Nothobranchius furzeri: one gene and its partner. The main gene of each other region encodes a partner of the protein of the gene in region 2 in a complex. Links are inferred from orthologs where the notes say so. Each region holds a gene or a part of one and is shown on either strand. Other genes may lie near its edges. The genes, in order: pttg1 and espl1.

The links.
Region 1: the proteins of espl1 (region 2) and pttg1 are in contact, whole or in part, in a cryo-EM structure (PDB 7NJ1), measured with the Homo sapiens proteins. The link is inferred for Nothobranchius furzeri from reciprocal best matches to the Homo sapiens genes ESPL1 and PTTG1. Residues at the interface, in NP_036423.4 of Homo sapiens: His402, Thr405, Val406, Tyr409, Ser461, Asn462, Tyr465, Tyr468, Arg505, Arg508, Glu512, Glu544, Thr547, Phe548, Arg551, Gln590, Lys593, Ala594, Val595, Arg596, Thr599, Gly600, Arg603, Gln634, Cys637, Tyr638, Trp683, Ile686, Glu690, Ile697; in NP_001269311.1 of Homo sapiens: Tyr111, Pro112, Glu113, Ile114, Glu115, Lys116, Phe117, Phe118, Pro119, Phe120, Asn121, Pro122, Leu123, Phe125, Glu126, Ser127, Phe128, Asp129, Leu130, Pro131, Glu132, Glu133, His134, Gln135, Ile136, Ala137, His138, Leu139, Pro140, Leu141.

Annotation. Positions count from the first base shown.
Region 1 is NC_091741.1:85,725,943-85,730,220, forward strand, and holds the start of pttg1 (securin), read right to left. Parts: upstream 2,876-4,278; 5' UTR 2,777-2,875; intron 2,237-2,776; 5' UTR 2,231-2,236; coding exon 2,146-2,230; intron 2,067-2,145; coding exon 1,933-2,066; intron 1,413-1,932; coding exon 1,331-1,412; intron 904-1,330; coding exon 739-903; intron 1-738. Other genes in the region: septin6 (septin-6), read left to right, coding at 3,415-3,444. UniProt on the Homo sapiens protein: Regulatory protein, which plays a central role in chromosome stability, in the p53/TP53 pathway, and DNA repair. Probably acts by blocking the action of key proteins.
Region 2 is NC_091743.1:50,208,181-50,212,445, forward strand, and holds the start of espl1 (separin), read right to left. Parts: upstream 2,964-4,265; 5' UTR 2,851-2,963; intron 2,717-2,850; 5' UTR 2,697-2,716; coding exon 2,616-2,696; intron 2,456-2,615; coding exon 2,153-2,455; intron 2,066-2,152; coding exon 1,316-2,065; intron 1,230-1,315; coding exon 1,128-1,229; intron 1,011-1,127; coding exon 899-1,010; intron 811-898; coding exon 683-810; intron 524-682; coding exon 330-523; intron 257-329; coding exon 14-256; intron 1-13. UniProt on the Homo sapiens protein: Caspase-like protease, which plays a central role in the chromosome segregation by cleaving the SCC1/RAD21 subunit of the cohesin complex at the onset of anaphase. During most of the cell cycle, it is inactivated by different mechanisms.

The DNA of each region.
Region 1 (4,278 bases), on a different chromosome or scaffold from region 2:
CAGCTGTGATCACAAGCAACAACACAGTAGTTCCTGCTGCTTCTTCGGGAAACGGCGCAAAAAATAAATAAAGAAATAAAACTTGGGACCTTGTAGGCGTGGCAGTGGGATTTTAGCCATGGTGGGCCGCCACGGCTACGCCTATGTAAGGGAAACACTGGGATGCATATCAGTGATCCAAACTCCCTTCCCCGTGGGCCGGTACGTTTTACTAGTTTCCCTGCTTCAATGTGCCTGATTTTAATCAGCAGGTGATTAACAGGCTTCTGCAGAGCTTGATGACAGGTGATTGAAGTGTGTTGAATGAGAGCAGGCGTAGGCAAGCCTGGTCCCAGAGTACTACCACTCATGTTTTTGTTGATTCACTTGTTCAGCAGCTCACCAAGCTCCTGCTGATTAAAATCATGTGTTGGAACAGGGAAACAACTAAAACATGCTGGATACTGGCCCTCAAGGAAGACAGTTACCATTAGAGTATGTTGTCTGTTAATGCTTAGCTCGACAATCATTGTTTGAAAGAGTTTCACAAAATTGCCAGATTATCCATCATTATGCCACGAGGGAAGATGAACAGTTCAGGAATTAAAGAGTCATATTCAGACATTTAAAGTCAAGAGTTTCTATCAGGTGGGCTAAGCCATCATCAGTGGTCTGCCTTTTAGAAAGTTGAGTTAGAAATCAACTTAGTAACTATGAAGCATAAATGCAAACAGTTAAGAGTAAATATTAAGTGCATACCTGAATATTTTGGCATCTTTATGGGTGACAAGTCTGGAAGTGGAGCCATCTCTGTCAAATCCTCCTCACACAGCTTAGAAAGAGTTGTGGGAAAACAGGCCAAACCAGGAAGTGCCAAGCAGCTAAGAGGGATCAAGTCCTCAGGGACGCTGTACCTCTCAAACTCTGGGAAACATTAGAACCTTGTTTAAAACATGCAGAAAACAGTCCTCCGAGCACAAGACAAAGCAATATAGAACATTAAACTTGTCTAAAGTTTCTATAGGAAGGAAATTAGATCACGTGTGTTGGAGCCTCTTTTGCAGTGTATAGATGCTCAACTTTAATAATGACCAGCTTAAGTCAGATGCTGGTGGAAATCTATTGAGTTTGTAAACTAAAAATCTGAGCAATTATTTTGAGCAGGAATTTTTATTTAGTGGCAACAATGCGGGGAACTCGTACCTAGAAGCTTGATATTTCTACATCAGCCATCTTTTGCAAACTATTATACACTGTGTGTATAATAGTTTGCAATTGAGGGGGAAATAAGTATCGACTTCACTGAAATGTATTGTTTTAGGCAACTGAATAAAAGTCAAACTCAATTTACCCAAGGGGTCATACGGGATAAACTTCTCAATTTCTGGATATTCCTCAATTTTGGTTTGAGGAGCAGGCTCGACTTTGTTTTCCTATTGAAACAAAAACAAAACAAAACATTGACTTGGTACAACAAGGTAAAGAGAAATGGATGGCAAAGATCTGGGGCCTCATTTATCAAGCTTGCTTACGCACAAAACGGGGTCGGAAAACTGCGTAAGCAACTTTCCACGCAAACTTTGGGATTTATGAAAGAACTTAGCGGAAAAATGTGCACAACTTTAAGTTGACCAAGGACCTTGCTTACGCACATTCTGGACATGGAGAGCACCTGCAGTGCTGCTGCTGAGAATGATAAAATTATTAATTCCAGCAGCATTATCACTTGTACCACTTTGTGCTCACACAGAATAAGCAACAAGTACATTTTTTTTGCTGAGCTTAAGTACAGTTTTATTAAGGATTCTACGCAATATTTGATAAATTAGACCCCTGAACTTTTAGTTTAGTATGGCATCTTAGCTGTGATTTGAACTTCATACAAAAAGATGCAAATAATACTTTGTCAAAATATTTTTTTATGCGTGAACTGAAGACTGTCCAGAACCCAACCTGTGGCTTCAATAGAGTCTTCTCCTGTGCAGAGACTGCTGGGGTCAAAACCTTGTTCACAGCTCCAAAAGCTTTACGACCAAATGGCAGAGGTGTTTTAACAGATTTAGCTGCCTCTGAATTCAGAAGTTTCTCTGGTAGAAAAATAAAAAAAATGTGAACTCACATCCAACATCACCTGCTAACATAGGAAAAATATTCAGTTCAGAATACCTGGAGCAGACTGAAGTCGCTGTCGCATCTTCAGCGAAGGCACATGAAGACCAGCATTTTCTTGCTCTGCAAGGATGTTTGCCATTTTTATCTGACAAACACATGCAAACGTTATATTCTGCACCAAAATGCAAAAACGTTTTTCAAAACAGCAAAGCTAAAAGTGAGCTTTGTAAACTTTCAGCAGTGGGGGAAAAAGGCAAAACAGATTTAGCCAAATCCTAAATTAATTTAATACAAGCTTATTTGTTTTAAACTACTTTAAATATCTAGTTTGAAGCCTTTAGCAATTATTTTATAGAACACTTATCCAATCCCAAAATATACATTTTATTTCAAGTTAGTCACCTTTATTTACTGAAAACAGATCACCTGAGTACCAATCAAACCTATCAGAAATTTTTGACAAGTGTTTATTTTTTAAACTTTTCCCGAACACTGACATACAAACGTTAACAACGGTTTTTTGACCGCTAAACAGATATTTAAAAAAACAAAACAATCAAATGTTAGCTTATATGCTAGCGCTGTATAACGTCTTAATCGTTCGCGGGTTTATGGATATTATCTTGACCCATTCAAAGAAAATAAACTATAAATTTAACTTGAACTGCTCTCTTTGATAACTCACCTCTACGAAACACAACCTCTAACTCAGTAGACTCGACCTGACCGTGCTGCTCACTCGGTTGAGGTTAAGAAACTGTGTACGAACGAACGACCGCGAGCCAATTTTAAATTCACGGCATCCTTCCTATTGGCCAATATCACGCACGTGACTAAAATAGGCGTCGCCTACTAAGTGTTGTTAGCATTGAAGATTAATTGTGAGTCGTAACACCTGATTTATTTACGCTCATGGCTACACATGCTTTACAAAATTGTCGGCCACTACTATAAACTAAACTAATTTGTTTCAGGATGTTATGTGTGTCTGTGTGCTTCTTTATTTTATCAAGTTACATCACATCTGCTCACTACCATTCATATCAGACGAAACCATTAAAGCATTCGATGGGGGACTTTCTTTATGTGTTATTTTATGTCTTCTGCCATCATTTAGAAGCCGCTTCTGTTAATAGAAGTCATCGGTTTTAACAGATACATATGTATTGTCATTGGAAGTTCAGCTACTACCTTTATAAGAAATGCGACATACTTTGATAAAATGGTACATTTCAAGCAGGCCAGGTTTCAGCGTAGCGGCGCAGCTTCCTTTGCTGAAGTCAGAGCGACAGTGGGTTCGTCCTCCGGCTACTAACACTCACCATGGCGTCAACTGAGATAGCAAGGCAAGCCGTAAGTAGTCTGTTTGACTCTAAAATCCATTGTATGCATTTATTACATCTTCGATATGCTGGGAATCGTTTCAACTTATTTGTGTAACGGGTTATTTTGGAGTCGGTTAGCTTGCTAACACCCGTGTTCACATTCGAAATTCACCATTGCGTTGCTAATTTAGAGTCTGTTTATAATAAATCGTGTTTTTAGATAACAAATTATGCATCTAAAATGCTCTTCGTCTGATGATGTTAAATCAAGGCGCATCACCTCGTGCATTTACCTTTCCGGTGAAACAGCTTTAGCATTGCATTTGCAAATGCCCTTAGATTTCATGTGGTGTTTATTTGAAACAAATGCATGGCGAAATGGCACATTGTGTGATTTTAAATGTTTAATTGAGTTTAGTAGGTGCTGGATCGTTAAAAATGACGGATCCACACAGATCGATCGGTAGGCCATTCATTCTGAAAGCCCCCGTTTCAGCACAACCTCGGTGCTCATTTCCGTTACCGTGTTTTATTTAGGAACCCGTTAACTTTCACACAGGCGTTGTCTTGATTGCTTGCAAAACAAAGACAAGAGTTCAAGACTTGTTTTGGAGAGGAAAGGGGATTTTACACACTCCTTGTTATCCAAGCTTGTTTTTTAAGTGGGGAAAGGAAGCCACTTAACCCAGAGGGAGTTCTTAGAATAGCAAGATAGTGCAGTTTGATACCCCATTGTGGCTCAATGAATGAAACCGGCTGTGTGCTTCTTGGCTGTGAGCGTCATGAAAAGCGAGGATGATTTCAGGAATGTTGTGCTTGCATTCTCAACATTAAACAGGCTGTTTGTTCAGTTACATTAGTC
Region 2 (4,265 bases):
TAAATGGAGTCACCAGTCAGTTTGCTCCCTGAAGTCCTGAAAACAGACCACTTGGGCCATTTCACAGAGGTAGACAGCCCGTAGATGAGTGTGGGAACTCTCTGCGTGGCAGATGTCCAACAGGTCACACAAAGTGTTGTAGCGCTCTTGGGTCGTGTCTCTCGCCAACTCCTTATACGCACGCAACTCTTCTTCCAAAAGGCAAAGCATGAATTTCTCTTCAGGAACGTCAGGACCAAAACCATCCCGTAATGTCCTGTTTCAGGAAACGACGGATTTTAAGCAAAACACAAACAAAAACAAAGCCACTAAATAGTTCTTCTCTGTACCTGAGTCTTATGTCCTCATCATCATTACGGGCAGCATCACTTTTTGTTTTAACCCACAGAGAGACCGGTTCAGCCATGTGAGCCATCACCTGGTCTCCAAGGGCTTTCAGCCACAGGATCACCCACTTCAGGGCTCGATCCAGCGCTTCGGCTCGTCGCGAGGTTTGCACGGCCAGCATGAATGGTCGACTCAGCTGGGTGGTCACGATATAAATAATATTAGCTACAAACCATCAAAAAGCTCAGAAACACCAGTTTTAAACCAACCTAACAGAAACAAAACACCTTCAGCTGCAGGAACTAATTAGAAAACAACATTTCGATCAGGATAAGTATCAGTTGGATCGACTTACTCTATCAGCAGTAAGTGAGACAGGATGATTCTTGCATAAACTTCTGCAAAGGATTTCCACCAGAGAGAAGGCCTGCTCATACAGACGCCGGTTGTAAAGACCACAAGCCACGTTGCTCACAGCAGTCACTACGAGGCACAACAGTGTGTACAATAAATAAATACCTGCATTCAGTAATGATGAAGAAACATTTATGTTAGGATTCATTTCAGTCACCGGTTTTGTTCAAAAGGTTTTCATTGGGCGCCTTGTGAAGTTCTGTCATCAGTAGCCCAGCCGTGGACTGGCAGTAGAGGAGGACTCTGTCCAGCGTGTCCCTGTCCTCCAGCTAGGACCCAGAAACAATCAGCATCATTACTAAAATCCAAGTCTAAAATTCAACATTATGCTGCACCGGGGCCATGCTTAACTTACCATCATCATGAAAGTGTAAATGTGTTCTCACCTGTGATGCAAGCATGCTCTCATAAGCAAATAGGAATCCTTGGTAAATACTGACACAAAGGACCTGCTGCAGCCTGCTGCTCTCAGCCTGGCACATCAAACTCTGGGAAGAAAAAATATATATACATGCGAGGTTTTATTATTATTTTTTAGATAAAAACGTTTCACTGTCCAAAGTGTCCCACTAACCTTTTTTTGCATTTTCATTATCCATTCTTGATACTCCTCAAGGAATGAAAACAGCGCCAGAAGTTCTGGTCCACTTAATCCTTTACTGTGTCCACTTTCAACAGCCCATATCACTAGATTACCACCTTCAAGAGCTGCCTGACCCTCCCCTTTACCCAGGTCAGCTGAGAGAGACCTCAAAACCCTGGCACACTCCATCAAGACTCGGCTGCACTCTTTACCGGCCGTCAACGCTGAATGAATCTCTATTCCCCATGTGGCCAACACCAGAGGCATGCACTTTGAGCCAACACGGTCGAAAATCATCTTCTCAGTTTCATCCAAGAGGGTGGAGGCTAGACCGTGGTGGCTTGCCTTACAGAGGGCCTTCACAGCGAGCAGCGCCATCTCAGAAAACACATAAAAACTTGATGCTTCCATAGGCTGCCTGAAAGTACCCTGTTCACAATTCTGCACACTTGAAAAACATGTGTTAAAAAGTGTCTGCACTTCCTGGAGGAGAAAAGAAGCATCATCTGGTGTCACTGTCCCACATCCATCTTCAAACTCGGTGATGGCATCATATGTGTACATCAGAGCTTTAGAGGTGGGAACTGCCTTTTCTGTGTCCAACAACAGGAAGCTCAAAGCTTGAAACTGGCAATGAAGTTTGTCCTGTGGATTGAGTATTTTTTTGTCTTTGGAAGCAGACAGTCCAGTCCACAGAACAGAGAAGCAGCTTCGCACAAGAACATGGAAATCATCTTGAGCCTACAGATATTACAAACCACAGTTACTCTGACAAAGACCACACAGCAGGGATGTTGACATATGCGAGAACTGTTTGGTGATACATACCTGCTGTGCTGTGGAGAGCCTTTTATAAAGCAACCCTGCCACTTGGCTACAAAGAGTGTGAACCTCTAGAGAACTTAGCTTCTTCACAATATGGAAAATGATCTTTTCCATGTAAAACGGACTGGTCTGAGCCACGAGCTCTGCAGAAACATCATAACCACGAAGAGAAAGCTCCACCAGATTCACTAAGGCCTTGATGTGACCCAGGGGACAAGATCCAACTCCAAGGTGATGGTTACAGGCTCTGATAACCCTGTCACACAGCGTGCGTCCCTGGAGTCCAGGTTTACTCAGGATATGCGTCTGAGAAACGTAAAACAGACATATTCACGTCCTAATGCAAGAAAATACACGTAGATGTAAACAGTTTTTAAATTCCATGAATGCCAAACAAAGTACTGGCCCTTGGGCTGGTACGCATTTTTAAAAAGGACTAGAGTAGTGTTGCTAAAAACAAGCTAACCTCCAATTCCTGGTATAAAAGCTCCGTCTCTTTAACAGAAGCGGTCCGCTTGATGTATTCGTCCACTTTCAAACACTTCATGTTGACGTATGTAGCAGACACTGTAGAAAAAGTAGAGCAGGTTAAATGGGAGGCTAATCTTAGCGGAACGCCGACCAAATGCGCTGCTTTAGGCTAACAGTTAAACTTGCTAAAGCCATCAGCTGGAATTCTTATGAACCGTTAGGTTACTCACCCTACAACATGAAAACAAGACACTTGCTGTTCATACTAACTCCTTTAAAGCCAAGTACTGCCAAACATTAAAGATAAATCCGTGCACTATTACCCGAATGCAACGCGCGCGCTGTTTTTGAATGAAAAGTAACCAATCAGACCTGAGCCATTCAGGTTCCAAGGAGACGCAAAGGATTATGGGTGTCGGAGTTTTTAAGAATCCTGCGTTGGTCTGCTTCCGGTCTGGTCCCCAGAACAAAGCGGGCTTATGCCCTGCATGATCGCACATATGTTCTACTTTAAATGAAAGGCAAATATGTGTGTTTTGGCTATGTCTGTTATGCACTTTAACCCCCAGAGACCCACGGTTGTAATATTACAACATCAGATTTAAGTCTACAAAAATAAACCTTCCCCATTTTTTTTCTTTTTAAAACCACATTTACATTGCCAATAGGTCCTATTGTTCAGTTCTGCAACACTATTGGCTGTTAAAATGTGTAAATAGGCCCGTTTATCTGGCCTCCTGTAACAACATGTGAAAGGTTAAAAAAGATTTTGCAGTTGTTTTCTAAATTTGGGTCTCTGGGGGTTAAGGTTTATTAGCTTGTAAAATTTTGTATTACAACTACACTCTAGCAAGTGTGACATCACCACAGAATCTCTTCTCCCAGCATAGTTACTTATGGGGTGCCATTTGTAAAGTCAAACAGTCATAATCTAACAGCAATATTTTTGGTTATTTAGCATATTATAAGAAAAAAAATTGGGAGTTCACTTTTTCAAAGTCATATTTTCACCATGTTATTCATACATTTATAAATGTTAAAGTTTCCAAATAAATATTTAGTTAGCAAACTAAATATTTAATTTATAGTTAAATATTTATTTTGCAAACCAAATATTTAGGTCTAAGCTAAATATTTAGTTTGTAAAATAAATATTGAATTCACTAATTAAATATTTAATTTCCTAATTAAATATTTATTTTGGAACTAAATAATTAATTTGTAAATTAAATATTTGATTTGTAAATTAAATATTTATTTTCTGAAAAAAATATTTAGATCCCAGCTAAATATTTATTTTAGAGCAAAACATATACTTTGCAAAATCAGTATTTGGGAAGTAAATATTTAAGTCTGACCCAAAAATATAAAATATAGTGTGGAGCTAAATAACATCGTGGAAAATAAATATTTAGCTGGTACTTAAACATTTTGCTAATATGCAAATTTGCTTACCAATAAGCGGAAGTTGGTTACCAAAATAAAAGCTGGATCTCGCTAACCTCTTTATAAACTCTTGCTCCGAACCAGAACTTGTTTTATCTCCGGTTCTGTTCTTCTTCAGCCAACACGTCGGCCACGCCTATCTTCTTCCATTTAATGACAATGTTATGCATCGTGTGTGTGTGTGTGTGTGTGTGTGTGT